3 linked regions of the Nothobranchius furzeri genome follow. The protein of the gene in region 2 interacts with the protein of the main gene of each other region in a pairwise test. Links are inferred from orthologs where the notes say so. Each region holds a gene or a part of one and is shown on either strand. Other genes may lie near its edges. The genes, in order: mxd1, mlx and mxd4.

Region 1 (10,383 bases), on a different chromosome or scaffold from region 2:
CATTACCTGGTAAATGGGGAAAAGCAGTAGATGTAAAGGTGCTTTTTAATTCTGGCCTTAATAACGTCACATACGGAGCACACATACTCTTCACCTGCAAGTTTTAACAGATTCTGGAGATCACTGAGCAGGCTTGTTCATCTCTATGTCCTAAATGGGAGAAAACCGGACTGGTCACACTGGACTGTTCCAGAACCATTCCTGTCATTTGGCTCAGGGAGATCCTTCCAGATGATCCTTAATTAACCCCATAATCCTGAACTATACATGAAGATGGACATAGACAACTATGTTCACCAAGATACTCTGAAGCAACATGCACAACTGGCAGGGGGTGTCTTCTTTCTTTGTGTTTGGATTGAAGGTGCTGGTTCTCTCTGCTGAATACCAAATGCTGGAGGAATCGGAGAGCACAGAAACATGGAGGAGAGGAGGATGGAGGAAGAGAAATGGTAGGAGTGCTACAGAGAGAGAAGAAGATGAAGGGGAACCACCACTACTCACACATGTGTGTGCAGCAGAGAGATCCCCTCCCCCTCTATTCACACATTCAAGTGTCAGGAAGCAGCAGAGAATTTACATCCAATGGCTCCGATACACAGATAAACATGGCAGCTCAGCATTTTACGAACTAAAGATATATAACCTGCTATTGATTCACCCTTTCATCCAGATGAAGATTCATTCATTCATTTATTCATCAGTGTTGCTGGTCTGCCTATTTATTAATTATTTGACCAAAGCAGAACATTCAGACTACAAGCATGGCTGCCATCCTCTAAAGGCGCTCACAGACAATGACAAAGTCATGTCAACTTAAAAAACACTCAATGGGCCAAAGCGAGAAACGCCAGTTGGTCCCATCAGTATATTAATACGATCCCAGTTAAATGCATGTTCACGTCTCCATGTGCGACTCGTCTCTTACCAAACATGGTGGCAACAAACCCGTCACCATCGTGACTGATGTAATGTTGGTGGACGGCGTGCAAACACTACAGTTTTGACAAATACAGCCCCACTTCAGATAAACAGGAAGCTGTGCCAGACCTTGTGTCCACAGTCATCATTATAACCAGAGCTTTAACCCTAACCCTTCAAGTCACTCAAATACGGGACAGAAGCATCGGTGATGCTTTTATATCGCTGCATAGATTCATGGTTTTTTGTATTGAAATCAGAAAAATACAAAAGAACTAAACCACTACACGTTACTAATGCTCAGTGTTATGGTTACGCTTGAGAATTAATCCTCCGTTTAAACACCCGGCAGCTTATCGGTCTGCAGTTCCTGGGTTTCGACAACGAGAGCACCAGTGAAGTTCACCCTTTACTATGAACAGGGTTATTTACTGGTGAGCGAGGAGGACCCCAACAAGGTTTCTCTGCAGCTGACGAGTTGAGCATTGGCAGAGACAGCAGGTTCTCCTGCTGCGCCTCCTCGTTGCCAGAGTCAGCACTTGAACACACCTGAAACAGGAGACTCGGCTGCTAGCTCAAACATCTCGTGATCTTTACGTGAACACATGACTTAAAAGAAGTTAGTCTATACATCACAATGTAAACTAACGCAGCTGTAACAGAAGCACTGTGTGAATAAAGTTGGTTCACTTGTTTTTAAACAACACAGCTTAGCCTAAAAACTCTTGTGCTACAAATTAAACAAACCCCTAGATGGTTGGGGATGAGGTCCTGACCCAAGTGGAGGGGTTTATGTGTCTCTGGAGGTTACGTTCACGAGTCAGGGAAGGATGGAGCGTGAGATCAACAGACGGATCGGTGCTTGAAACCTGGTGATGCAGGCATTGTACTGATCTGTCGCAGTGAAGAGAGCTGAGCCAGACGCCAAAGCTTCGATTTACCAGTTGATCTACGTTCCTACCCTCTCTTATGGCCACATGCTCTGGGTAGTGACAGAAAGAACACGATCACAAATACAAGCAGCCGGCTGGGCTGGGCTCTCCCTTAGAGATAGGGTGAGAAGCCTGGTCTGGGAGGGGCTCGGAGTAGATCCGCTGCTCCTCCACATCAAGAGGAGCCAGTTGAGGTGGCTCGGGCATCTAGTTAGGATGCCTCCCTGGTGAGGTTTCCGGGCACGTCCAACTGGGAGGAGACCTAAAGGAAGACCCAAGACACACTGGAGGGACTATGTCTTTAAACTGACCAGGGAATGCCTTAGCTCCTTTTAGAAGATACACTGTGCCAGAAAATCAGCATACTACTGCTGGACAGTGTGTCTTATGAACACGCCATGGCAGCATGGCACTGAAGGAATTTGGCGACATTCATTCCACCATGCTTGGTAGTAATCTTACCGCAACACCGGACTAGTGATGCAGATTTCACCTTGGCACAACAAAGGGAGGTGTCATGATAACATGGGAAGTTACTGCAGAGCTCCGGCCGGCAACTATATTGTAACAGAAAGTAAACACGAGCCGTAAGTTTTGCTTTTGTAAATAGAATCAGCTGAGATGATAACCTGGAGCGTCGCGGAGCTCCAGGAGCTTCTCTCCGTTAGAGCTGGAGCTCCGATCACCAGAGACAGCACGGGGACTGTGGGGGACAGAAACCTTTATGATTGGCTTGTGAGCGTGGCAGCTCAGAGACCGCCCCCATATCCCCTTTATACTTATACTGCCGTTGTGTAATCTTTTGCAAAAAGGACACAGTTGCACAACACTATCACCACGGTCTGACCGCTTATAAACGACCTACAGATCCTTGATGCTGCCATGGCGTTGGGGCAAATAAGCGCCATTCTTTTCCAAAAGAGGCTCTTGGGATTCCCCTGGAGGAGCTGGCCCAGGTAGCTAGAGGGAGGGAAGCCGGGGCCTCTTTTCTTAGGCTGCTGCCCCCACGACCTGACTCCGGATAAGCAGAGAAAATGGATGGGTGGACTTGGACTGTCTATGCCTGTGTTTAAAGTAGAAGTAGTATTTCCACCATTAACCAAACAAGCTAACGCTCACACATCAGAGTGCCGACTAAAACGACTCTTCTGGTTTCAAGCTCTGGATACACAAACATCCATAAAGGTGAGTGGCTTCACCAGGACCAGCCTCCCAGTAAAATGTCTCGTTCAGTCACCTTGGCTGACCCACTTCGCCTCCGCCAGTGGCCACTGACTTTCAACCAAACTGATATTTGATGCTGTCAGTCACTCAATTTACAGAACACAACACAAAGTCTAAAAATAATATTCACACAACACACAGTCACTCACACAGATCACATTAGACCTTTCTGGTGTCAGACAGGAAACGGCACCAAAACAAAACAAAACGCAATAAATAAGGAAGTTTCAACAGAGCCAAGCACCAAGAAACACTCAGGCCATGAGGATAGGTCTTCTTCTCTTTTCAAATATTACATGTTACATAAAATATGTGCCAAAATAATAGAATCTGGTTAAGGTAGTAGCTCTATCATTTAAAATATGCTCTTTTGTTTAACTGAAGTGAAATAAAGTGGGCAGAATTATTGCTAGTTTTTAATGAGCCACAGAAAGCATTTAGAAAACTGGAGTTCAGACGACTTCAAATTCAACTCAAGGCTAATGATTAACAGTCAGATCCACTGCATCCAATATGAGGAAGTGTTAATCATGTTAGTATGTAACCTGACTAAATGAGTTCCCATCAGAAGATAAACTGCATTTACCTGATGACTGCCTGGGCCGCTTTAACACGATAAAAGCTGAACTTAAGATAAAACAGAGCTGTAAGTTCTCGTGTTAATGCAACTCAATAATAGAGCATTTACTGGGTCTTCTGCTGTCTGTGAAATCGGATGAAAGCCTTGGTTATTCTTTAAACGTGATAGGAGTCAACCCTTTAACCCAAGCGTCCTGGCTGTGTGCAGCACCCCCCCAGGTTTTCAATTCAACAAGCTGAGTATGCCTTTACCTGCTACTTGTGTTTTTCTTGCTTTTGCTTTTCCTTTTCAAGCTTTCCCTCTCTCTGCTGCTGATGAAGGGTGGCATGGAGGCATAGCCGTGTTCAGCTTCTGCAAGCAAATAAACAACAGTGGTCACATGTCCTGTTATCTGCAAACATAGCCAGGGTGGGAGACACGAGATGTTGCACACATCCCCATCTGCATCATCTTACATCCAATGTGTTATGCTGGGATGCATGCATGGAATGAACGGATTTAATAATGCAGTATCTTTAAACAGTGCCCCCCCACCCACCCTCACAGCTTGGACAATGATGTCATCCTGAACTACGATAAACCCTACCAGCAAACCACAACAGAAGGAAAGGAGGAGCTTGCAACTAAACATTGTGTTCCTATATTTTTAATAGCATTTGCATGATTTCTCCTTTCATAAAAGATGCACAATGCACGTTAATCACTGCACCATTCATATTTTATAAATCCTATTTATTGTCATCATCATAGTCAACGATGAACACCTGGGTTAAGAACAGGATGTGCAACTTAAGAATATAAAACCTATTTGCCGGACGCATAAAGAGCCCGATCAGCGTGATAATGGGCAGACATGAACGAAGTGGGAATGTGTTGTTTTTTAACAGCATAGAATTAGAATTAAAATATACTTTACCTCGTTCCCTGCGATCGAGGTACTCTGCTGCTTCGATCAACATCTGCACCATTTCGATCGACGCCATTTTCAACAATAACACTAATAATATTACAATAATCCAACGAGGGATTCCGTTACTGTAGTCACGCTTCTATTTCTGAACTCTTGGGTTCCCTGTTGTTCTCACTTATTGTTCTAAAATGTTGTTTTCGAGTTGCTTCTGCAGGATTTCAATCAATCGATTTTTAAAATAAAAGGTCCCGATAAAAGACGTGGAAAGCGAAACTGGTTTCTCCTATATAAAAAAACAGCTTTAAAGGCTTGGTGGTAGCCTTTTAGCCACGGTAGACGCTAACACTTCCCCACAGCTAAGATTATACCTTTAAACCATTTGATTTGGGTGACTTAGTATCACTGGTTAGACGAATCTCTCTTCAAGAAATACAGATGGCTGTTGATAAAAACGAAACAAAAAATCGATAGTATTTTCTGACTAGTTTTAGGAATAACAACAAAAAGTTGGCAAACGTTAGCGACTGACTACAAACGACTTTAGGTTCAAGTCATCAGCCAAAAAACAAAAAGATGCTGTTAGGCTGGACGCACTTGCCGGAAATCAGGAATATTTTAAAAAGATGAACTAATTCCTGGATTATCTTGACGATGCAATCCAGCCGTTTTGGTTCCAGACTTTTTGGCTAGCTGGTTATGTACTGGTTATCACTAAAAACGCGTGCCTCGTCTAGCTGAATGTAACGACTGACACAGAACGGCGGAAATTTGTCAAAGTGCATCCAAAATAGAGGCTTATGTGGATAGCAGCTCCCAACTGTACTGTAACACAAAGCCGCTGTGTGCTGTCACATGATTGGATGTTGACTATATCCACTCCAGCTTTTATTGGCTGTCTAAAACATCAATGACTCAAAGGGATCGACCCACACTGCAACTGATAACCGTCCACGCCATTTTGGTTCTTAAGTGAACTAGACCGATGTCTGTGGACTAGACAGTAAACAACTAGGGAGCCATAATGGACGGCTTTTCTCAATACTGAATTCACGTTCTGTGATTGGCTGTTTTCAGGTAAACTTGTCAGCTATTGGCTCCGATGCCCACGAGCTCACGAAAATGTCAACGTCCCTTTAACAGAAGCCACGCCTCCCTGCCATGCTGTTTCGTGGTGTACGGCTGTGATTGGCTCTCGTGGTGTTGTTTGCCTCACTTCTTCCTTCTACGATTGGTTTGATAGTCCCTTTACTTTTCCTATCACAACCTGCAATGTGCGCGCAAGCGCACTTTCACAAACTTTTTAATAGAAACTTTATTACTCACATACACACACATTAACTTGTTACTCTGTGAAAACATCTAGACTGAAATATCAACGCACGTACCAGCGCGCCGGGTGGACGGAGCTTACGCAGTGTTACGAGTCCAACACGCCCACCATAGTAGGTTTTATGCAGGAATCTATCTGAATAGAATTTATATGTATACATTTCTAGCAGTGCAATAATCTGCTCAATCAATCTGACTGACCTCCGTCGCCGCTCATCACTTCCGCCAGGTTCATTCGCCGGCACACTGAAAAGAAGCGGACCCGCATTCAAAAAAAGTACACAATGTTCCTGAATGCAATCAACGTGAAACGACGAAAAATATGTTAACAAAACAAACAAAAAAAAAAAAAAAAAAAAAAAGAAAGAAAAAAAGAAAAGAAAAGAAACCGAGACAACTCCTTTATCATTCTCGTGCAACGAAAAGTACCTTCCAGGTACTCTTATGCACCAAAAATCCAAACCCTAATAAAAAATAAATAAAAAATGCAAGAACATTTACAACACACACTTCTGTTGTTTGAAACTTCAATAAAGTTAAACTTTTATTTAATCTATCTTTAAAGCTCCGCTTTTGCATAGATGTGTGGGACTGTGAGATGCTGCAGTAATCTGACAAAAACTTTCACATTTACAGAAAACTCACAATATGTGAAGATCTTTTGACACATTTGAGTTTTCAACTGGACTAGTGGCTCCAGCCGATCTCAGGAACGACCCCAGGTATCTCTGTCCAGAGGAGACATTGGATTAGACGAAGCTCCCTGGTCTCTGGTACTAGTGACGACTCCTCAAATACATCAACACAAATTGACATGTTTGTGCAGATCTGGGCAGAAAAAGAAACACATGCTCTACATAATCAGCACACCATCAATTTCAAAGAGTTTATTTCCAACAACACGTAAAAAGCACAGCAACAAAAACTAAATAACTGAAGGAACAACTACATGTTGAGTGATAATATATACACAGAACTGCTGCATCACATTTAACAGCATGTAATCCATGTCCTCCCCTTGCTGGAAAAAGGAGGAAATGCAGCGTGACATTTTCAAGCGATGAAATCCAGCGGCCTGTTGAATCCTCCCTTTCTGTTCATGTACTGCCTGTAAAAACATTTAGAACAACAGTGCATCACAACTTCCCTCTCAACACTTGCAGATTACATCATCAAGAGTCAATAGGAGAGCAGGATTCTCTGCAGAGAGACACCTGCTGACGTGATTGGCTACTTTAATAGTGGTTGCTGCTTGTAATGCCAATTTCCCAACAGGATAAAACTTTGTTTATTAAAAATTAGCTGCTTCAACAATCATTTTAAAAGTCGCTCTGCTTAATGTGCTATGCACAAAATTCTCCATGACACCGCTAAACTTCAGTATTTGCAGGCTAACTTGATATTTTTCTCTGTGAACGTACCTGTACTTTCTCTTCATGCTAACGTTGATGGCAAATGCATTAACTGATCCATCTGTTTTCTTCCCCTGTGGGAAAACAATGTTCAATCACAAACAGAAATACATGCTGCAGATGCTATCCTGATGTGGTCTATTACATTTACAGTTCATCAATCAGCAAACGCTACTAGACAGTGGCTGATGGTGCACTTCCTGTCTTGTGTCGTTTTCTGAATGTCAAACAGTCTTAAAACTGCGAAGTATCAGCAAGCATGAAGCCGTCGTGGTGAATGGCCACAACTCAGGAACACAGCGCCACCTGGTGGCTGCATGCACACATTTTTCACTCACTTTAGAAGAATCAAATGAAGAAAATCCCATTAACTTCATCATTTCAATTTCCTCCTCCGTTTTGCCCTGCATGTCCTCTGCTGTAAAAACAGAAAGAATATCTGATTTAACTCATTGTTTAAAGACGTTTATAAATGTCCAGCAAACTGAACAAAGGATTTCTTTCTGAAAACAATCAGCAACACAAAACCTGAGATCTGGATGGGCTTTGAAGACTTGTCTTTCACTTCTTTGCGCTCATCATCACGTCTGTCCTTCTGTCTCATGGGAGACGACGAGGAAGAGCGGTGGCGCCTAGGGGGAGACCTGTCCAAAGAGCATAAAGACGGCTGCAGGACAAAGGATCACAACAACTGAGGAAGGAAACATTATTGTCTAAGAAAGGATAGAAGGGTTCATGTCTACAGGCTAAAACAGGAAAATGAGAATCTGGTGCAAAAGTCCATTCATGTCAGTAATCCAGCTCAGACTGAGAGACCATCTAAAGGCTCAGGAACCTTTTGCTGTTCTGGATTCATCAGCTGATCAGAGTGCGACAACTTGAGTCTAGAACATTGATCCTTTTCACAATATTCTAATCATCTGAGATTTTGAATGGGGGGTTTCATCAACAAATAAAGGCTGAAACATCTGGATTTGCATGGAATGACTGTCTCATAGATTAGTTTCACCTTTTAAGTTGAATTAGTGAGATTAACAAACTTTTGCTCCATATTCTAATCCTCTGAGTTTCACTTGTATGTGTGCATGTTGCTTTTTATCAGGGGGACAAAAACTCACCTTGAACGCCTCCTGTGTGGAGAACGTGAACGAGATCTGCGTCGGTCTCGCTCCCGATCTCTAGAGCGAGAGCGGTCCCTCTCCCTCCGCCTTCGCTCATGCTCACGTGAAGTAGAGCGAGATCGTCTTCTCTCTGATGCGTAGGTCATGAAATCAGAATGTTAACTAAATAACAAATGATGTCCCTTGCCAGTATAGTCATGTTGTAAAGGGGCAGCAGTAGCTCAGGTGGTAGAGCGGGTTGCCTCATGATCGGAGGGTCATGGGTTAGATTCCAGCTCCCGCCAGGGGTATCCTGCTGTTGTGTCCTTGGGCAAGACACTTCACCCAACTTGCCTGTGTTAGTGGTGGTCAGAGGGGCCGACGGCGCCAAATGGCAGCCTCGACTCGGTCAGACCGCCCCAGGGCAGCTGTGGCTACAAGTAGCTTACCATCACTAGCAGTGTGTGAATGTGAGAGTGTGTGAAAGCGTCTTTGGGTGTCTAGAAAAGCGCTATATAAGTTCAATGCATTATTATTAAATAAATTCTGTAGAACACACACACACACACACACACACACACACACACACACACACACACACACACACACACACACACACACACACACACACACACACACACACACACACACACACACACACATACACACACACACACAAGTATAAGGAAGACTAAATTACTGAAATACTTCAACAACTGATTTGATGCTAGTCCAACAAAAAGACTATTTTATGTCTTCATAACCACTTTTTACAGTTGAAGCCAAACGTCTGTGTCACTGATGCAGAACTAAGACAGATGTGGTCATTCAGTAACTTTAGATCAGTGGGGTCTGACCAGCGTCCACAGGGGTCCCTATCTTGAATGTCTGAGTTGCTCCACCACACCTGAGCCATTGCTTCTTTCACCTGTACTGCAGGCCTCAGGCTCTACAGAATGCATGTTGTGTTGGATCAGAGAAACGTCTAAATCATGCAGGATAGCTGCCACAGAGGACCAGCATTGGAAATCACTGCTCCAGATAGCTGGATGACTGGATTTTTCACACATCACTTCTGTGAAGGGGTGCAGCTGGAATCAAAAGGACTATTTTCTCCAGAGCATTTCTTTCCCATTTATCTCACTAATAACTGGTTTTCTTACATCTCCACAGTTGTCAGCAGGACTACCTTCGGAGCTCTTGCATGTGGAAATCCCCCCCCCCCCCCCCCACCACCACCACCACTCCTCCGAGTTCTCATTTTTACTCAACTTTATATGTTTAAGCAAATGATTGTTCACAAAAACTGTTCCAGTTATTTTACAATGTGTTAAATAAATTAAAATTTCAGCATCCTTCTGTGTTTTGTTGTTAGATTCTGGGTAAAAACTTAACTCTTATGAAAAGTACAGGTTTTGTTATTGAGATGCACAAAAAAACCACGTGTTGTAGCTATGAAGGTATAATGACTTTTGAACTATCTACACTACTTTTGAAAGGGGAAACTTTCCCTGATTTAGTACTGCATGAAAGCCTTTATGCTGTAGATGAAAATCCTTGTTTATAAGTGACATGAAGGAATGGCTTTATTTTAATTTGCAATTTTAATAGTTAATCGTCCAGTTATCAGGGATAAATTAGTTTATTCTAAATAGGAATTAGTTGAAGTCTAAGCTTATTTTGTGCATCCCATCATAAGCATCTTGTTATATTGAGACTGTTCTCCGCTCCATCTCCTCACGCTTAGACTACTGTAACTCTCTTTTCACGTGTCTGAGCAGAACCTCCCTGAACCGTCTGCAGGTGGTTCAGAATGCCTGTGCTCGGCTTCTGACCAAGTCCTCCAAACACACCCACATCACCCCGCTTCTCCTCCAGCTTCACTGGCTGCCAGTCAACTTCAGGGTTCATTTCAAGATCCTGGTTCTGGTCTATAGGGCCTTACATGGACAAGCACCATCTTACATTGGTGATC
Region 2 (10,623 bases):
AGAGGAAGAGATTGGTACATGTATTCATTTGGAGTTAGAAATGCCTTCACACCAGATACGTTTTCAGCAACGAGCATTTAATAATTATTTGGGTCTGTCAGGCTTCAGAGATGATGAACGCCATCCTGGAGGGATATCCAAAGAGCAAAAAGGAGTTCCTGGTGAGCTGAAGAAGCAACATCACATTTCCTACATGGAAAAACAAATCCTCCAAGCTTTGTTCTTCTACAGGAAGAGGTTGGCGTGGAGACGGACGAGGACTGTAAGGTGGTGGTTCCAAGTTCTTGAACAAGGAAGTGGACCACACATCGGAGCTTTTTGAGCCACTTTATTTAACATTTCTTTCGAATAAATAATAAAAGGAAAAAAAATCAAACACATTTGTACAAAAGTTAGCATTCTTATTGGCTAGACTACATGTAGCTACTGCATCGAGGGCTGATTGTGACCCTAAAGGCAACTGTGGTGTTTTCTCCCCTTTAAAGCATCTTCATTATCCTGAGCTTACATAGAAAGTCAGCAAATGATTCAAACCTCTAACAGGCTTCAGATAGTTTGCTGCATACATTATTATATAGAGTGAACTGTTCAGCTGTTTCTAAATCAACATTTTCACAGTTGTTAATACTGCCAAAACTGCTTTGGGCTCATTCGCTGGTCACCACTACAAAACTACGATCCTGCCCTTTTCTGCTGTTGGTTTTGCACTTTATGTTCTCGTATGCAAATAAAATATTAAGTCCATAAATTGAAGTTTCTCTCCTGATGGTGATTAATTCACCACCGGCCACCATGCGATGTCATCAAAACAGCATCAGCAGCAGTCCACTGAACATATACACAACAGGGCAGAGGGAAGAGTGCAGTTTTGACGTTACGGGAAAAACTAGAGAGACTTTAGTGGCTGTGTGTTTTTATCTGTGCGTAACCTTTTAAACATTTCAAACAGAAAAATATTAGAACATGAAACGAGCCAGACTTCCGCAGCAGATCATGTCCACAAGAACAAAACGTTCAAATCTGCTGCTGATCCTAGAGAATCTAGAGTCAGAGGTTTGGAATAAAAAAAACAAACTGATGCATTTTAGAGTTTCTGCTTTCACTGTAGCACAGAGCGACGTCACGGATCATGAAAACACGACAGCATTTAAAATCGGGCTGAAATTCAAAGAAGGCTCATTAAAATCAACACCTGCTAAATGAACCTTTTTGACAGGTCACCTGCAGCTAAACTGTGACTAAACACTAAAGCCTGTTGGAGACCTGTGGCATATTTACAACATTTATCCGCCTCATTCTTGGAACTAACCATTTATTTACCGCCACACTGAAGGCAGAGGACTTTAAAACCACCAGTGTGTTTCTCTGAGGCGCCACAGAAGCTGCGTTCAGCGTTGGAGCAGTGACCGTTGACAGGAATGGCAGACGTGCTGCGCCGGAAAAAAGGACCACATGTATAAATAAATGGAATAAGTCAGATTTTTGTAGCGATGAGGCTAAAATGTGTGCTAACATTTTTCTGTTTGAAAGCATAAGTTGAAATTTTCTCGTGTTTTACACTCAGCTCTATGGGAATGTAAACACGGTCAGAAAGTGGCTGAAGGCAGCTTTTTTTAAATTCCTGCTAAGAAAACACGATGAGGTAATCAACACGCAGGCGCAGAGTCACCGATGGGCTGACGCGTGCGAATACTGCACGGCCTGAAGGGTTTGCTCCATCCAGAGAGGCAAGAGCAAGTCAAAAGTCATTTTCTGGAAGTTAGCCGGAGGCTTCTCCTCGATCAATAAAGCTGGCCGTTGAGCTGCCGGAGCACGCCGACAACAGACTCCTGCAGCGTCTGAGGCAGAGCAGAAAAAGCACTAAATTATCTCAGCTGAGCGATCTGGTTTGCTGAGAAGGACGCGCCGGTGGCGTTCCTTACCTGTGGCTTGCAGTGCTCCTCGATCCAGCTGAAAACACAGGCTGACAGTTCCTGGAAGCTGCTCACTGAAACCGAGTTGCTGAAGGACACAAACAGGGAGTCCATGATGTTCTGAAAAAGGTTGAATTTGACCTGGTCAGACACCTGATCTTCTCCCTGCTGCGGGTTGTTCTGGTGGGCCTTCACTATGTGCTCATAGTTCCTGTTGGGAAAGACAGCAGGTTCAGAACAACACCACAAACCCTGCCTTTCTTAATATCCCAGATGGTTCCACTGAATTTCCTTACTGCCTTTAACACTTCTAGGTATTTAAAGGGACAATGTGCCGTTTTTATCGTTAATCTCTGGAAATATCCATCGAAATGTTGTTGAAAATAAATTAAATGGTGCCCAGTTGTTGAAAAATATTGGCAGATTCTTAACATGTAACCATAAAAGTCCAGTCTACATTACATGGGAGCGGGTCTAAGTCGTATTAGACGCCATGTTTCCTGGCTGCTACAGGAGCCCTTGAGGGCAAAATGCAATTACTGATTTGTAACAAGTGCTTACTAAAACTTCACCGTTCATAAACGTTGTTTTACACGTTTACCTCTTTACTCATTGTCACTGATGAAAGGGAGTCTGATGTGCTTGTCATTTTGCTGAAGTCTGCACTCCCCAGGGCTTTTTGACCCTAATGGGCATCTGTTGGTAAGGTCTTACTCCCAACACAAAAATACAGCTTGATTGCAACAATTCAGGTATCTACTGCCCCCTATCGCCAGGAAAAATACACACTGTCACTTTAAGCCTCAGATCAGACCTAGAGGATCAGTCTCATTTGCCCCCGTCCATGCTCGTCACTTCTGAGGTCCTAATGTGTCCTCCACACCACTGGTCAGACAGGACTGGGATGTGTTTACACAAGTCTCAGGTAGAAAGATAGTCCAATAAAAACCCGTCTTACGTTTTCATTATCTTAAGCGCCATCACTTCTTTCCTCAGGATGGAAACTTCCTCCTCTTGCTTCTTCTTTTCTTTGTGAAGAAAATGGATGTAGTCGATAGCTAAAGCCATAAAATACAGAAAAGCATCAACCAGCGACTTCTTTACAACACCGGAAGTTTAAACGTGGGGGTGTCGTTACAACTTCTCCATTTTGTAAATGAGCATTTGTTTAAACAAGAACGTTTATGTTCTCCTGATCCCAGTCATGTGATTGCGAGTATGTGCTGATACCGTGTCCCGATCCGATACTTCAGCAACGCAATTAAAATAAGAAAAAAGAATACATCCAAGTTCTCCTCTTTATTATTCATCTTTATTTCTTCTGGTATTTTTGTCATTTCCTTAATTTATTTGCCAAATAAATCACTCGTTCAAGAAGTGAATTGATTAAAAGTATGTTAATAATATGAATATATTATTAATAACAGATAAGGTGCCTCGTCGCCGTGCTGAGTGATGTGCATGGCATGATGTGCACGGTCGGCAGACTCACTTTTCTCTGCTCAACACCTGCAGAGCTGCGTGTGACGAGAAGGAAACTCACCGCGGCTCCAGGAGACCCGACGTTTGCAACCATCTTGACGGCGACACGTTAGCTCTGTGTTAGCCTGCTAGCTAACAGCTACATGTTATAGTGTCTGAACTCCACGTCTGTAAATTTTGTGACGTTTCTCTCTATGAAACAAAGAATATTGACGTAGCAGAACTTGTTCAAATTCAACCTAAGCCATTGTTATTCAGTTTAAAAATTTGTATAAGGATGAATGTAAAAGGTCACGTCCTTTCCCACCTGATTCCGAATGATTCCTGATCAAGAGATCGAGTCGGAGCCTCCCCAGGCAGCGGCTGGAGGTTTACTTTAAATATATGCAAACTGCTCAGCCTATTAACAGTGTCTGATTTGTTATTTTATGGCTAATAAAGTTGAAGAACAGCAGCAGGGAGGGCTATTCATCATGTCTCACGCATAACCTGCACATTTTAAAATAACTAAAAGGTTTTATTATTGTTTGTACAGAGTTCTTTTTTTCTACCAACAGTTCAGTGTAAAAATGTTCAAATTGCAAAAGGTTCCTACTTTTCTGCAGAACAGTAGCCTTGCTGATCTTCTGGGCTCCAACTGCAAACTCAGACTGCTGCTGGCACGTAGGAACGATGGACTGCAGGTCACCATAGCCTTTCTAATGACACATAGAAATCAATATTAACTCTTAAACAGCCAGAATTTTAAATCTAACTCTTATAAAGTGTGTCAGTTGGAGTCCTGAAGTCCTACCTTGATTGCATCTCTGCGCTTTTGCTCAGCTTGAGTGTGTGCTTGTCTCCGGCGATCTTTAAAGGAGTCTTTAAATGACGTCTCGTGCCTGTAATCGCTGTCTTCATCATCTGTTTGGGAACAAGCCTCTGACATCTGTACTCTCAATGAACTCATTTGCAATTATTTTCTTGCTTACATATCTGGTGTCAGTTTAAAAACAGAAATTATTTAAATCAAGTTTAAAATGAGAAAAAATGGACGGATGTTTTTAATTTTGTAAATCTTAAAATCGAATGAAAACTTGCATCATTTTTGTGTTGGCTCCTTCTACAATATAACACAGGGCTGTTTCTGTTTCAGCAGCAAATATATGTTTGCTTCAGTCCGGTCAAATTATAGACGGATTTTTAGCAAATGCAAAAAGGTAGAACATAGAGAGTTTATTTATTAAATATGGCAAGTTCACCTTCCCAGACTAGATTTTAAAGCATGAGACGAAATACCATCAAGACTCACCAGACAGGTTTGTGTTTGAATGTGAGACAGGAAACAAAATAAATAAAGGCACCATCTCTGTGATTTGTTGTTTCAACCTTTTCTTTAAGGATAAGGAGTAGTCAAAAGGCACGTTCACACTTATAAACTATCAGCAAGATAAAATCATCTGTGTTTTAAACACGATACCTGTATTTGGTACTGAAGAGGCACTGGTTGAGCCGATACTGTTGGCTCTGGAAACAATGCTTCCCTTTCTAGCAGTTTCAGCAAAGAAACCTGGAAAACAACCCAGATTTTATAAAAAGGGTTAAAAATAAACCCACCATTAACAAAAATGATTTAATTAATCATGTGCTATGTGAAAATGAAAAAGCATTCATTAGAAAAGTAAAAATGACTCACTTGTGTCAAACCCACTGTCACTGAAAGCCCCGTCTGTCTGTCCAGCCATCACCAAGAAGAAGAAAAAGGAAACCAGAAGCTGTGAGATTGGGTTGAGGAGGGGAAATGTGTGCTGCCCTAAATATGTCGACAAAACACAAACAGCAAGCCAATCCAAACCCCACTGAGCACTGTCCTGATTTGTCCAATTCAAGAACAGAAGATAAAATTGCTTCAATCACAGATCTGCTGTTTGATGTAGTGCAGCACAACACAACAGTCCGTGTTTTTATTTATGTAGTTATGTATGTTAGCCTAGATTTCCTCCTGATTCTGGGGGAGAAACTCCTCAAAGGCCTCGTCAGTCTTCAGCAAATAAAGAATCAGACATGTGAGGATTAGTCCTGTATAAACATTGCTCTGAAGGTTGAAGATAAAAATGATTTAAAATACTGTTAATCGACTATTAAACAACTTACAAGAAAAAATACACAGTGCCTTTTTTTATATTTTATTATTAACATATTAGTTTGTATACAGCTGCTGTTGTCACCCAAAAAGTATTTTCAGACTAATTTTAAGAATACGCCAAAAAGTTCTAAATAACCATATTTCCTTGGCTGTTTGTGCATGTAAATATATGTTTTAAACGACTTCATTTGATATGGAAAAACAATTCCGTTTTCAAGGCTTTGTTTACTTAACTAGCATGCTGGCTAACTGCTACAATACGTCACCAAGCTAATGTTAGCTAGCTTTTGAAGCCATGTTCCAACTTTAGCGTTGAGAAAACAGTTGATCACATTCTACTCCACACTCACAAACGCAAAGATACGAACCAAGGGCTGAAAAAGTTGGGTTTTGTGACTTACTTTCCAGTGTTCCTCTGGGTCCGTCATTTTGAAACGCTAAAAAACTAATAGTGCTGCTGCCTTCACGTGACCCGGGAATTCCTATTTTCTCTTCTAGTCTTAGAGGACTAAAAGCACAGAGACAAAAATATTGTTTCAAAAGCTGAACACGTTTACTTCTGTTGTTGCAACACAGACACAAGCCATCAACTGTTTATTAATATTAGCAACAAACTGGTTTAGAAAGTACACAAATGAAACTCCTACGTTATTGAGAGTGCTTGAAAATAACTGTAACAATAAATAAATAAATAAATAAATGTTATCATATATTGTCTCGAAAAAGTATTTGATATTGTTGAATTACAAAATTTAGATACATAAGTTTCTGATAACAGCCATGAGACCTCAAACGCAGCATAACTACACGCAGTAACTAGCCTCGAACGCACGAGGACGCTGTTTTACCTGGTTTGATGGTATAAACCTGTCTTTACCTTATTGACATGACCTGAGATCATCAGACACCCAAACAGATGTGACTAACATACATCTGGCAGCGGCTACTCTCAAGAAACTCTGGGTTCAGGGCAAAGGTATTTTTAATTAATATTTGTTAAACATAAACCACCCAGCTTTTTTAGTCTTGTGTTAGTTTTTTTTTCATGTTGGGCTCTGTATCAAGTGCTGACAGTTATCTTTCACCTTGTCTTGAACACCAGGTTTTTGTTGCAGTCACACACAGGAAGTTACTCTTCTGCTTTTGTGCTTCTGTGGTTTCTGTCTGTGTGACAGAGTGTGTCACATTCTCCTTCCTCTCACATACTGGCCTCTTCAGCAAGCAGAGGAGTTCTCAGTCAGCCAGTGTGGTGCGACGTAGGTGCATTGAGTATTTCTCGTAGCAGACCCTAACAAAGAGTTTGACTTTGACAGAAACCTGTAGACAAGAGATGTTAATGAGGAGACAAACATGAATGCATACCTTGTTTTTTCACCATCCACCCTTTCCTCAGGACAAAGGAGGATTCCTTGAATTAGAGTTTGGAGTTCCTCACCTTGACGGTTTCAGACTTGCTTCTTGTCATTTGGAGTGGTCAGCTTTGGTCACTCTGCTTTGGAGTACATTGGTTCTGTTTTAGGTGAAGGGGTTTGTGTACAGCTTTCCTCCTGGATTACATTTGGAGATTAGTGATGGGGAATGTGGCTGTAGGGGGCTCGGAGCATGAGCCGACTGAGGGCAGAGAGGCCAGGAACTCCGTCGGGGCAGCTTCAACAATGAGTGACCCCACGCTAACTCCGCAGAAGAAGCAGCCGGCTCCCCCAAAACTTCCCATGCCCCCAGAGGAGGAGCTGGAGGAGCGCTTCAAGGCAGTGCTGGTGAGTTTCACTCTTTTGCTGCACATGAAATCCATTAGATGTTATAGTAGGAACTCCAGGAATCACACAGGTAATGATGACGTAGAGGCAAAGAAAAAAATGTAAATAAATAAAAGAAAAAGCAACAATTGTTGCGACTGCCTAATCTCCATTTTTACTATTCAGCTGCCAAAATCAGCTTTAACCAAGTAAATCCCAGACATGATGTGGCTGTTTTTTAACAGGTGTTTAAAAGTTTTATTTGGTAGCAATTGTGTTTTTTTTTTAAACTAATATTTCAAAAGGCAAGGTAAGGAGAAGGGAGATTAGTGCATGCATGTGTAGCTGGGCTCAAGGGGAAGTTGAGCAACATATTTATAAGAAAGAGCGAAAGACCGGAAAGCAAGTGTTTCACCATCCTCCCAGCAGTCTACAAAAGCAGAACTCCTGCAGCTTTTCTTTGTCAGGAAACAAAAATGTTCTTTTATTTAGATTTACTTCAATATTTATCTTTGTTTATTCTAGTAACAAACAAAAGCTGAATGTTTGAAACAAAAGATCACCCTTTAATTTCATTATTTATTTATTTGTCAGTTTCATCAAAACCAAAACAAACTCACAGTTTGTCCTGAAACGCCCCAGAAGGGCTAGATGTGGGAAACAACATGAATAAAGATAACAACATCATTCTCTTTAAAGGGTCATGCAGAGAAAGTCTAGGTCCAAGTTCTGATTTGGCTCATTTGCATGAGATCAACAAGATGATGCAAACATAAAGAGGATGTCTGTTTTTTTGCAGAGCTGCTCATTTTTAGGACTTAATTTTTTTTTTGAGATATAAGATCAGATGCTCGACTGTCCTGCAGTCACACACTGTTGCCCAAATCAAATATCACACAAGATCACATTACTGATCTCCAGCTTCTTTTGCATTTTGGATCTGTTTTTAATGACGCAGCATTTCCGCTGGTTAGAAGGGGTTGGGGTGTAGTCACACATGACATCATAGCAGCATGATAAAGAGCTCAAAACAACAGTCAATCACTAAACATATGAGACAAATGTCATCATTATGCAATTCACTTCTATGGTCATCACACTGTAACCTAAACAAAACATCCTGCAGATCAATAATAACAACCCAATCAAACTCACATGTGTATATTTTTAAAAGATTTTTCACACGCCTTCCATGTGACCTGGTACAAAACGATCCGTGAACCAGAACCAGCCTTTTTCCCATTAGTGAGGGACGTCTGCACCACAAGATCACACCTACATCTGGTTCTGTCACGCTTTGTAGAGGAAAAACGATGTGATGCCTTAAGTATATTTAATACTTTAAGACCTAATGTGTAATATTTACCTAATGATTAGGTACATTTAACACATTAGGTATATTTTATTTATTTAACCTTTATTTAACCAGATGAGTCGATGGAGAACTCATTGTCATACAATGACTATCGGGCCAAGAGGCAACAGCAATAGACAAATAGTTAGCTTTACGTCAAAGAAAAAAAAGGATAAGATAAAAACATACAAGATAAAAATAAAATAAAACACTTAGACATAAAGACAAAGGACTGTTCTCATATATAATACACAAGCAATAAAAACAGACTTAAAGTGACAATGTGTAGTTTTTACCATTAATCTCTGGAAAAATCAATCGAAATGTTGTTGTAAATGATTTAAAAGATGCCCAGTTGTTCAAAAATATTGGTGTTTCATAACATATAACCATAGAATTCATTCTAAAATACATGGGAGTGGGTCTAAGTCTCTGGGCGATGCCATATTGGATGCCATGTTTCCTTCTACAGAAGCCCGCGAGGACAAAACACATTTACTGATTTGTAACAAATGGTAAGAAAACTTTCACCATACACAAACATTGTTTTACACATTTACCTCTTCACCCATTGCCAGTGATGAAAGACAATTTGATGTTCTTGTTTTGCTGGAGGATGTGCTCTCAGGGATTTTTGATCCAAATGGCCATCCGTTGGTAAGGTCTTACTTGAACACAAAAGTAATGTCTGCTTACATTCATTTAGGTATGTACTGCCCGCTATCGCCAGGAAAAATACACACTGTCGCTTTATAACAGTCTTTAAGAACTCAGAAGCAGGAACATTCATCAGAAACTTTGATTGCAATGACTTGTTGAAGGTAGATAATGAAATGTAGGCAGTGAGCTTCAATGATGTTTGCAGCTCATTCCAGTCGTTGGGAGCAGAAAACTGGAATGAGGAGAGGCTAAAGGAGGTGCAAGCTTTGGGAATAACCATGGAGATTAAGCTACTGGAACGTAAATTACACTGGTTGTTGGATGTGATGAGTAACGACTGATGATATGATGCGGTTCTACCGATGATTGTTTTGTATATAAACTGATACCAATGTAACAACCTGCAGGAATGGAGTGATGTCTAGTTAACGAGAGAGTACAGATAACAATGATGAGTAGTAAAAGAGTCACCAGTGACGAGACGGACTACTAAGTGATAAATGACATCGAGTTTATGAAGACGTTTTTTGGAAGCAGTCCTATAAATGATGTCACCGTAATCTAAGATGGAAAGGATTGTCATTCAGACCAAGGATTGCTCTGCAGAGGGAGTGAAGGATGTTGTGGTATAGAAACCTAATTCTTGACTTGACTTCAGAAAGTAATGAATTCATATAAATGTCAAATGAAAGTGTCTGTCAAGCCAGGTACCCAGATACTTATAAGAACTGACAAGCTGTAGTTCTGTTGTACCATCCAGGGAAACAATAGGGTGGCAAGTTGATTGCAGTAAGTTACAGTTGAAGATCCTGGACTTTGTTTTACTTGTGTTTAAATGGAGATGAAGGTTGGAGAAGGCATGTTGAAGACAATTAAAGTTGTGTTGCAAGGAGGACAGAGCTGCATTCAAGGTAGAACTGCATGCATATAAAATTGTGTCATCTGCATCTAAATGTATATGAGCACTGTCAACAGCATGAACAATGTTATTAATATAGATTTTGAATAAGTTTTGGCCCAGTATCGACCCTTGAGGAACGCCCATATAGAGGTAGAGGAGCAGATTGGTGGATTTGCAGATGATGTGGTCTTGTTGGCTTCATAACGTGATTTCCGGCTTTCACTGGAGCGGTTCACAGCCAAATGTGAAGCAGCTGGGATGAGAATCAGATCCTCTAAATCTGAGACCATGGTCTTGATTCAGAAAAGGGTAGAATGCCTTTTCTGGGTCAGGGATGTGGTCCTGCCCCAAGTGGAGGAGTTTAAGTATTTTAGGCTCTTGTTCACGAGAGAAGGAAAGAGGGAGCACGAGATCAATAGGTGGATTGGTGCTGCGTCTGCAGTGATGCAAGC
Region 3 (10,707 bases), on a different chromosome or scaffold from region 2:
ATTGTATTTAGGAGAACAAATTGTCTACGTCTATGAACATTTGTTCTTTTTGCAGTCGTAGTGGAGAGGCGTGGAAATATTCTGTAACTATTGCACGCTGTTTGAAGAACGATCTTTGGTCCAAACGCTGTAGAGAGTTTAGCTGCTACAAGATGGTAGTAGTCAGTAAAAATCAGTGTAAACAAGGTTAACGGCTTTCCAAATATGCAACCCATAATTACTTGTCTCATGTACGCCACTGATGAACGATCGCACTGGTGCCACTTAGAGAAGACAGCAGCAGTTCTGTGGGTTTTCAACAAGCATTTAGTTTAACAGGCTGAGTAAAACTGTAGGGAGAGGCACGTGAGACCTTTTGTACAAGAGCCTTATTTTGGATGAATGATCATGCAACAAACATTAAATCTCATTAGATCCTCCTGCCGAGTGGTAGAGTTAAAGAAATGTCAGATAATCAACAAAGGGTGACTGCAGCTGGCTCCTTTGTTTCCTGGCTCTGCTGCTGCAAACTATTAACCACCGAAGACATATTTACAACCCATGAGTCTGACTTTAACTGCAATGAAAGTGGCAGAGAGGACTCATGTAGGAATCATCTACAGCTCAGTAACATATTGAAAGCATTATCTTTATTTCTCAAGAACATAAGTGCGATTGAAGAACCATCACCCCCCAGACTGCCCGTTGGGGGTGGGGGGTGTGGGGGTGGCGGGGTGGGGGTTGGGGGGGATGGAGAAAACATGTGTTGTCGATATGTTGTTAGCTAGTTTCATTTGGCTTTTAGCCACAACCCTTCTGTTATAACTGAAAACTATCGTAACCCCAACCTTAAAGGCCACGTTCACTGAGAAACAGTTTTTTAGTTGTTATTTTTGAAATATAATCAGTCACTCTGAGTTTCACATGCGGGCTAAACGTGAAAATAGGCTTCTAATAGTTTCCTGCATTAACCACCAATCTGAAAGAGACGAGGAAACGATTGGGTCCGAAAAAGCCACTCAGATGTACATCACACTGAAAATAAACATTCATGGAGTCATCCATCTTGGCTTATGATGGGGAAGGCTGTTGTTGATTAAGCATCCAGGACAGCAGAGAATGTCTCTAATAGTAGAAGCTAACCATTAGCATTAGCAACTCCACAACAAGGCAGAACTCCGTAAAGCATCTTTCCGGAGTATTTCTCTTATCTGATGGCACCATCTAGTGGCTGACAAGCACATCACACAAAAACTCTGTTGATTTGTTTATTAAGATGGCGACTTCACGTTTCTTGTTTGTTCTTGCTAGCGTAGCCGACAAACAGAGCTAAAACACTTTGCTTTACAAACATTATTCTCATGTCATGTTGTGTTTTCATATATTTATACTTTAAAGACATGTCTGTGAAAAGTTCATCAACTCTGCATCAGCCGAGGTACCTCCTTAAATTTGAAAGCGGTAGTCTAACGCTATTGGTTAGTTCTGGTCGCCACTCAGTTTCCTACTGCACAGAGCTCTGCGGGGCGGTGGGCGTGTTTAGTGAAAAGAAATTAAATAAAGACATATTGCTTACATTATATCAGTACATGATGAGGTAATCACTTTTATGGATTTGTGAAAAATCATAGATAATTTCTGAAAGGGGAAAACTCTGGAAAGCTACTTTAAGGCTTGTGCTATTTGTGGAGATAAAACATCAATGTTGCAGAACGACTCAGGTCAGTAACGTCGCATTATTAGCCAATCAGAGGTGTGGTCCCCCCCCCCCCCCCAGCTAACAACTACTTCCTGAAACAGGAGCGCCAGAGCTTTTTTTCCACAGAGAACAACTCGCATTTATATCACTGACCACTGCAGATTGAATGAGTGAATGACAGCTTTGACCCATCCAAATTAGAGATGGCTGCCAAAATATAAAAGTGGCTTTACCTCAGCCAGTTTGTCTCGTACTGGGGTTGAATTTGGTATCACAAGTTATTTCAGGCACAAACCCTAACTGCTAAAAGTTCATGTAAAGCCTTGATAGTTTTTGTGAGATTGCACATGTTGCTTTTTTTCAAGATTTAACAAATTGATTGTAATGCCATCTTTTCTCAACATAAAGATTATGATCTTTGTGCTAGGCTCTTAAACCGAGATGCTTCAATATAAATACTCAACAGAATTGTGCTTTTATTATGCACCAATTATATAAATTAATTCTTACCTGGTTGAAAAGAGCATATTAGTACAAAAAAAAGTAAAAAAATAATATGTACTTAGAAATGGACATGAAATCCAATTTGATCCTCTCAATATTCAATATTTGAGCACCTTTTATTAAAATAACTGTTCAGTTATTGTGAGTTTTCCTAAAGTCAAAATGACTAAAGAGTAAAAGTGGTATGTAACGTGACTCTTGATGGCCTGATGCTATCAAAGTCAAAAAGAGAAAAGGATGAAGAGGTTGAAATTAACAACAAAGCTGTTTCCAGTTTCACTGCTGACTAAAAACCTACAATATGCTGTAGTATTTAATTGCTCATGTGGAAACATAAAAATGTCAATTTAGTCTTTGAAAATATTTTAACATTTGAATAAATACCAAACATGCATAAAAGCCCCCCAGTGTTGATTTTATGACCTACATTTATCAAACTGTGGTAATACTCGTCTCATCAGAGGAGATCTGATAACTGTTGGGAGCAGTTTGTGGCGTGTGTCACCTTGTTTGCATTAGATGGACGACAGACAAAAGAAAAGAAAAGAAAAGAACAGAAAGCATTTGGATGCACGGGCCTGAGGCGATGTGGTGGACGAGGCCTGAGCCACTCTGAACAGAGTGCATGCAGATGATAAGTCTATAAATAGAAAAATGAAACAGGAGGGACAAAAGCTATTTCCTTTCAAATGATGTAAACATTTGACTGCAACGCACCAGCTAAATCCATGTCAAAAGTATGAGATCTTGTTTAATTGCGATATGAAAAAAATCCTAAACACATTTCATCAAAATTGAGATTTTTCATCTTCTACTCAATGGTGGGAGATGTTCCAAATTTTAAAAATGCAGCAAAAATAAATGCAAAGCACCACCAAGAGAACGTGCTGTGTATTGAACAACAAATGTCAGGTTTAGAACCAGTTAGAGTTTTGGTGCACATTATTTAGCAAGTGGCAAAAAAACACATCTTTCCACTGAAGTCAGCTTCAGCAGGAGTAGAAACGGGACTTCTAATACAGAAGTCAGGCTGATAAATGTTTGCCTACGTAAAAACGCTCTTTTCTCTACGGCACTGGCGAACAAATGAAGAACACGGAGAACACACGGCTCAAAAGAGTCCGTCTCCATGTGGCTTCTTAAACCAATATCCCCACAGATGTGGGCTCATGATAAAAAGGGTTCACGTTTCACAACTTTTCTGTAATTACGCTGAAAGGACAGTTATGATGTATGGCTTTAATATGATATCCGGCTCAACTAGAAGAAATGCATGCTGCAGCTTAGCTGTTGTGAAACAATAGCATTTTACAGCATGAGCAACTAAATTCTCACTATGACTCCACAATAGCGGCACAATGTGAAACAAGGGGGTTGTGAGGATGATCTGGTGTTTCATTTATTGCGTTTTTACACCACTACAAAGGCAGAAGGGTGAATAACATCAGCCCTAGTTGAATACGTCATCAGATAGACAAGCTGAACATGCATGAGAGGAATATTTCTCTCACTCGCAAGCTAGCCCAACAAGAGCTAAATATTACAGCATCACATGTATTACAGCACTTTGCATTATGTTGCAATAAAACCTTCAAATAGCTCATGAGTGTAATTCAGTGTTGTTGTTACACTGAACTTAAGTCATGCAAAATACAGACAGATATGAAAGTGCTTGACTCGCAGCAGAATGGGGTTAATGCATTATGACTTGAAATCGGTGAACCAAACACCAGCTTGATTTTAGATCAAAAATCACCCGCATCCGATGACTGCAGGGTTGAATGGACTGAAAGCATTTCTACTGAAAGCTGAGTTACTGTATTTATATAAAAGTTAACATTTAACAACACGATCATCAACAGGATTTTCATAAAAGTCTGCAAAGCATTGCTATAAATTAGTTGTTGGTGTGGCTTCAGCTTCACACATTTTTGGTCCTCATCCAGTCTGCTCATCACACCTGTAAATTTGCTGACTTTAACAAAACCGACAGCCACATTTGAAATAATTCTGTCTGTGGTAAAAGACCCCAAAGTAAGCACAACACAAACATTAATTATGTTACTGGTCTTCGGGGTCCTTTTTCTCATCATTTGCATTGAAAGTCATTTCCTCAATGTGATGCCTTCAGAATGCAGTCCAGCAAACATCTGGCTGCTAGCATTACAAACTGCCTGCCATGCACAACAAACCACATTTGCACGCCCCTGTTGAGCTACTCATAACTCTTCCTATGCTTCAGCAGCTTTGACACTCTGCCCAAGCTCACTTGGCGCTGGACATGATGGGTCATCCCACTTTCAAATGAACCTCAAGTTCTGGATCCACAGCCGCAATTACAGACTCCAGACCAGTCACACGATCTGAACTTCATTTGGATGAGATCAATGAATTTAGATTGAAGGGGGGTGGATTTGCAATAAAATGGATGGCATTCAACAAAATGTTTAGGTCATCCTTCGAGATTCAGCCTTTGCTATTCATGTCATTTCACAATTTCTAATCTAATTAAACATTGAAATTTAGTATAAAAAAATATATATATATAATCTAAAAATAATGGCCATAATTTAGCACATTCTGCCAAACTCTTAGAATCTTCATTTTGTCTCTTTAAATGTAGATATATGGTGTTTATAAAATTGTTTAATTGTGAAAATACATTTAAAAGCCTTTTATTTTGAAGTACACACTTGATTAGCTCTAGTTATTATTACACTTGACAGGTGCTTAAATAAACTACATCATTTTCAACTTTCTTTACTGTGTATTTCTTAATACCAAGCTAACGAGTGTGTTGCCATATTGTATCTTCACATCAGAAATTCTCATCTCAGTTTCTAGCAGGACTTTCATAATGACATGGACAGGAAATGAGCACCAAAACACGAACACCGCATGCTAGCAGGTCTGTTATACCACACGCTCCTATGAGAAATAGGACCAGACGTCTTGTTGACTGAAAGAGTGCAGTTTACTTCACCACTAGAATGAAAAGAAAAAAAAACACCATACTTTGGGAACTTTATCTCATTTGGCAACCAAACCACCCCAAGTTCAAGAAAATGCACGCCCAGAGTCGCTTCCAGCCAATCATATGCGTCCTTCATGTGTAAAACCAATCAGCTTCAAGATAGGTGTGGCGCTGAAGCTGTTGCTAGGGCATGTCCCCAATGACTTCAGACAGTTTAGCCAATCAAATAGCAGCAAAGAGCTTCATTGGTGAGGACACACCTGGGACCGGCGGAGAGCCTTTTCTGATTGGATAAAGTCACGATCACTCAACTTCCTGAGTTCAGGAGCTTTATTGTAGTTTGGAGTCGCTAAGACTCAGAAGTGAACGTAGCAGCGCACATACATCGCTCTGAAACAGTTTATTTTTTACATTTTCATTCCATTATCCTATGAATTGTTTATTTGTGTAAATAGATTTTTCTATTTTTATGACGAGACATCAAAGAAGATGGAACTTAATTCTCTTTTAATTCTGCTGGAGGCTGCAGAGTATTTGGAGAGACGAGACAGAGGTAAAGGTAAAGCTGGGCTGACAGCGTTTATAGATTATTTTCTGTAGCTGTTGGGTTTAGGAGGAAGGGGTTTGAGTTGATGTTTGGGGTTTAACAACATCCACAGTGCAGGTATGATGTCACTTTTCCCTTTCAGTGGGGCACAGACCAGGCGATGGGTACATCCTGGACTCAGCAGCTTTATGCTTCAGAATAATCACAGATTAAATTTTTTATATATATATTCTACGTTTTTCTTTTTTGGGTAGATTTATTTTTTTCTAAACACACGTTTTTTGTGCTTTTAATATGCCTTATAAAATATCTGAAAAATGTGGTTGTTTAGCCTTGATGTATTTCCTATTTATTCACTCACTTTCCCCGCTTTTATGGCTTATTTATTTATCAGTTTATTTCCCCCCTTGTGATTTATTTTTGCTTTGTGTCAACAGAGGCAGAGCACGGCTATGCGTCGGTTTTACCCTACAGCAACGACTATTCCCGAAAGAAAACAAAACCTACGACAATTTCCAGAAAATCTCCGAACAACAGGTAAAATTCACCCCATTCTTTGTGTGTTTACACTCGTGACAGCTCGTGCAAACCCTCCTATATGCAGACACTTACACATATGCAGTAGTACATAAAGTGCTTTGGTGTCTGAGCTGGTCTGGGATCGGTGTTTTGGTCTCTCCAATCAACAGTGCCACGCGTACACTGTCAACTCTGCTGCCTCTGCTCAGTTTCTGTTGCTGTTAGCCTCCCCATGCCAAGAGGAGGGGCACACACACACACACACACACACACACACACACACACACACACACACACACACACACACACACACACACACACACACACACACACACACACACACTTTACCATTCTAAACTAAGCTTACGCCTACTTGAAAGCCCTAAATGTCATTTTTTATTTTATTTCTTCATGTGGTGTTTTGTTTGGTGTCTTGTTGCTAAATGCAAGTCCTGCAGAAGATGAAACAAAGAGAAGGGGTTCGCATTTCAGAAACTGCAATCCCTTTTCCCCACACACCCAGAGAGACCATGAAGGCCTCATTGTTGCTCGATCAAAACAGCAGCTTCTCACCCGTGAGGCTTTCACGGACCTGCTGCTTCTGCCCATTACAGGCGGATATTGAGGAGCCACGTCATTACGTAACATAAAGAGCAGGTTTCAGTTTTGGTTTTCTGATTTCAGACCTGCTGGACCTGTTAAACATCAACAGCTTTTATCTACTCTTTTAAAGAGACAATGTGTAGTTTTTACTGTTTATCTCTAGAAATATCCATCCAAACGTAGTGGAAAAAGAATTCAATGTTGAAAAATATTGGCAGCTTTGTAACATAACCATGACAATCTAGTCTGAAAATACACGGTGGTGGGTCTAAGTTTCTGGGCAACGCCATTTTAGACACCTCTGTCTTTGGGAGCTCGTGAAGACAAAACACATCTACTTATTTGTCACAAACGGTTTTTAAAACTTTCGCCGTTCATAAATGTTGTTTTACACATTTACCTCTTCACTCGTTGCCTGTGATGAAAGGGAGTATGATGTGTTTGTCATTTTGCTGGAGGTTGTGCTCCCAGGGATTTTTGACCCTAATGGCTATCCATTGGTAAGGTCTCACTCGAACACAAAAATATCAGATGCTTGCAACGATTTAGGCAAGTACCGCCCCCTATCGCCAGGGAAACACACGCAGTCACTTGAAACTTTAAAACATTGAACTTGGGATAGACCGATAGATCGAGACGATATTTACCATTTTTGATACGTCACATCTGCCGATAAACCGCTTTAGTAATGCCGATTTAAAGTCGGGCACATTCTTGGGCAGTCTGGTGCTGCCGCAGGGTTTTATTTGAATGTACGTTTACGTTCTTGAAAACATCTGCTTAGTCAATGTTCAACTGACGTTTCTTTATGTTTACCGTATTTTTTGTATTTATTACTTGATCCGTTCGTCGATTTGTTTGATTACCTTTGGGTAAATGTTGGTTCTTATACTGCGCCGTGTACAAAATCAAGATCCAAGAGCTGGTTCGATTCTGACATTCAAGACTGATCACGTTCAGAAATGTTGTGCTTCCACTTTTAATGGTGACATTTTAGCATGCAGACACGGTGGAGAACAACTAGATTTTGGCCACAAAAATCGGCAGCACATATCGGCCATCGGCTCATCTTGATTTCTACATATCGGTATCAGCATTAGAAAAAGCCATCTAGGTTAATCTCTATTTAGAACTGTTACATTTAGGTTTTATATGTTTTTGTAACATTTTCAACCTGATTCATGTTTCTGTTGATTCTTTGAAATCATAACTTGCCAGTGTGAGCTGGCCCCTACTTAATTTATGTTTTATTTAAAAAAACACCTAATCTAGATTTGATAAACTGCACAATTTACTCAAAATAGATGTGGCGCGATATTTTACTCACCTTTTGACTCACTTTTAATTCACTGTAATTGCTAAAAACAGAATTGAGACAATAGGTGGACCGTCCCGTTTCTGTGTCACGAATGGATGGTGTGAGACGCGCCCTGAGCAGGCATCCTATCCGAGGTTACACGCAAGCTCCCATTCAGGCTGATCTAGTCCAGGTGTGCCGTATGGATCCTCTCTGTACATCAAATGACCCGGTGATTCAGAGGAAAACAGTTTGAGCGTGAATGACGTTGGCTTAACCAGGTAGGAGGTGGGAGGACGGTGGGTGTAGAAGTGAAAAGGGTCGTCCTAAATAAGAACGCAGCACTTTCCACGTTCGTTTTTCACTCTAACAAGGGGATATGTTTGTTTATTACATACGAGTGTGTGTGTGTGTGTGTGTGGATGTGCCCGCAGGGCGTGGTGGCCAAAACACACACCTGTGCCACGGGGCAAACACCCACCCACTTGATTTATTTTCTTCCTGGTGTTTTCGTGACCAGCCTGTTGGCAAACATCACAACCCTATTTGTGTTTACCTGCAGCTTTTTTTGTAGACATGGACAGGATGCTTGAGGTTAGTGGTGACGGACGGTGAAGGAAAAACGTTTTCTCATACTTTAACTCAGGTTTTCTTTTTTATAACTAGAACTTTTTCTCAAAGAGTCATTTTGATGCTAAAATCTGCAGCTTTCCTGACACTAAAATGACTTGGAACGCAGTTGCTGTTTGCTTCAAAATAAATGGAATAAAAAAATAAAACCGCTAGTAAAGATGCTGCTGAGTTTCTCCTCAATTAGTTCCTTTTCCTCTGGCCTTTCCTCTTTTGTTTTGCATGTCACATAATGATCCTTTACATAACAGGCAGAGGTGTGTGTTCACCTCGCGTTGCCGTGGATCCGTGCGGATTCCCTTCCTCTGGATGGTTTCCTGGTCGTGCCTTGTGCTTCGACTGTGACATGTCCCCTGCTTGTGCTAGTTTGAATACCAACTTTCTTCATGATGGAGCTGAGCTCCGTTTTAGCTCATGGGCGGTGTGAAATTCTGCGTTCCTTCCAGGGTGATTTTTGTGCCGCTGTAAAACAGCGTTGTCCCTCAGATGCTGGGGCCCTTTTCCTCGGCGCAGCTGTGGGAAAACCACTGCTTCGCCAGCACAAGAGCTCTCAAACAGCGGAGAGTCTGAAAAGGCTTGTTGTCCGTCTGGCTCTTTGTTGTTCCTGTTTTTGTTTTTATTGCCGTGGTATCCATGACGGTCTCATGAACGGAGGGCCTGTTTCAGGCGGACAGCGTGTCATAATAGGGGCTGTCCTCGGAATAGCCCACACGCTGAGGAATTCTGCTGAGCGTCTGAGCCTCCAGACGTCTGAGAGTGTTTTTATTCTGTCCTCTCTGCTGCCGCCCGGCCAGCGTGCAGCAGCAGGGCTGTTTTTCCTGGAGGAGGGCTGTTGTGCGGCGTCACACATTCAGCTCTCACCCAAGACTATTTTTGCTCTTCCTGGACGTGCAGAACTGGGAAGAATTTCAAAACATCAGGCTCAAAATACAGAAGTGTTTGTGAGAATTTTGGATTTGCAGGTGTCTGGAACCGGTCTCAAACCTTTCTCACATCAGTTTCCAAAAAAAAAAAAAGAGTTGCAGACTAGGGCAGCACGATATTAGGAAAACCTGCGATTTTAAATAACAATGATTAATATTGCGATGATATTACTTGCGATAAAGAAAAACTTAACTCGGGAACAAAAATAATCAAAAACAAAGAAATAAACAAATCATAAAAATGAGAAAAGCAAAAGATGTGAAGAAAGGGAAAAAGAAAATGAACAAGAAAAGGCAATCAGCGGATCCCGGGATCAGCAGAATCAGCAGAACAAAGCTGAGTCAGGTGTTTGCTACCCATCAGAATGAAGGGCCGTCCGCCTCGGGGGCGGGCATCTAACTTATGAGAACACACCCAATTGGCCAAACGGGTGAAGAGCTCTATTTGATTAGTTAAAACATCCTCCTGTTTGATCGACAGAATGCATTATGTTTAGCAAACATTTGAGCTGACCATTCATTTCGATATTGATCTGTTCTTTGCGATATGCATATTTTGCATGCTGATATCGTGATAATGACATATTTACGATATATTGTGCAGCCCTATTTCAGACGTATTTAGTGAATGACATCTGCACAAATTTGTTCTTTCATCACGATTCTGCGTCTAATTGGCTAGATACTCGCCTCTTTCTGAGCAATTTAGTCTTTATATTAGGGATGCACGGTACATTGGCATCATTATCGGTATTGGCCGATGTTAGTCATTTTTTAACATATCGGTATAGGTCAGTGTTGGTCATTTTATAGAGAGAAAGCAAGTCATGCTTGCTGTTATGGACGATAACAGATATTTCCCAAAATAAATATAAATGTGTATATTTCAGGAAATATCTTTTATCGCCGATAACTGCAATATTAATATAGAATAGAATTAAACTTTATTGTCATTGCACATGTACAGGTACAGGGCAACGAAATGCAGTTTGCATCCATCCAGAAGTGCTTTAGCCGTGATATAGATGTATT

What was found.
Region 1: the proteins of mlx (region 2) and mxd1 interact in a two-hybrid assay, tested with the Homo sapiens proteins (2 studies listed by BioGRID and IntAct). The link is inferred for Nothobranchius furzeri from reciprocal best matches to the Homo sapiens genes MLX and MXD1.
Region 3: the proteins of mlx (region 2) and mxd4 interact in a two-hybrid assay, tested with the Homo sapiens proteins (2 studies listed by BioGRID). The link is inferred for Nothobranchius furzeri from reciprocal best matches to the Homo sapiens genes MLX and MXD4.

Annotation. Positions count from the first base shown.
Region 1 is NC_091757.1:29,113,384-29,123,766, reverse strand, and holds the start of mxd1 (max dimerization protein 1), read right to left. Parts: upstream 6,683-10,383; 5' UTR 6,567-6,682; coding exon 6,542-6,566; intron 6,143-6,541; coding exon 6,098-6,142; intron 5,422-6,097; exon of another isoform or gene 4,641-5,421; coding exon of another isoform or gene 4,574-4,640; intron 4,171-4,573; exon of another isoform or gene 4,113-4,170; intron 4,009-4,112; coding exon 3,909-4,008; intron 1-3,908. Other genes in the region: snrnp27 (U4/U6.U5 small nuclear ribonucleoprotein 27 kDa protein), read right to left, coding at 6,950-7,004, 7,318-7,382, 7,647-7,726, 7,837-7,952, 8,427-8,559. UniProt on the Homo sapiens protein: Component of a transcriptional repressor complex together with MAX. In complex with MAX binds to the core DNA sequence 5'-CAC[GA]TG-3'. Antagonizes MYC transcriptional activity by competing with MYC for MAX binding.
Region 2 is NC_091745.1:7,585,610-7,596,232, forward strand, and holds mlx (max-like protein X), read right to left. Parts: upstream 6,022-10,623; 5' UTR 5,949-6,021; coding exon 5,922-5,948; intron 5,188-5,921; exon of another isoform or gene 5,120-5,187; coding exon of another isoform or gene 5,108-5,119; coding exon 5,071-5,107; intron 4,945-5,070; coding exon 4,855-4,944; intron 4,299-4,854; coding exon 4,189-4,298; intron 4,094-4,188; coding exon 3,991-4,093; intron 2,972-3,990; coding exon 2,872-2,971; intron 2,125-2,871; coding exon 1,923-2,124; intron 1,839-1,922; coding exon 1,782-1,838; 3' UTR 1,558-1,781; downstream 1-1,557. Other genes in the region: psmc3ip (homologous-pairing protein 2 homolog), read left to right, coding at 1-14, 102-161, 232-288; fmnl1a (formin-like protein 1), read left to right, coding at 7,092-7,277. UniProt on the Homo sapiens protein: Transcription regulator. Forms a sequence-specific DNA-binding protein complex with MAD1, MAD4, MNT, WBSCR14 and MLXIP which recognizes the core sequence 5'-CACGTG-3'. The TCFL4-MAD1, TCFL4-MAD4, TCFL4-WBSCR14 complexes are transcriptional repressors.
Region 3 is NC_091746.1:81,012,760-81,023,466, reverse strand, and holds the start of mxd4 (max dimerization protein 4), read left to right. Parts: upstream 1-5,440; 5' UTR 5,441-5,645; coding exon 5,646-5,709; intron 5,710-6,140; coding exon 6,141-6,240; intron 6,241-10,707. UniProt on the Homo sapiens protein: Transcriptional repressor. Binds with MAX to form a sequence-specific DNA-binding protein complex which recognizes the core sequence 5'-CAC[GA]TG-3'.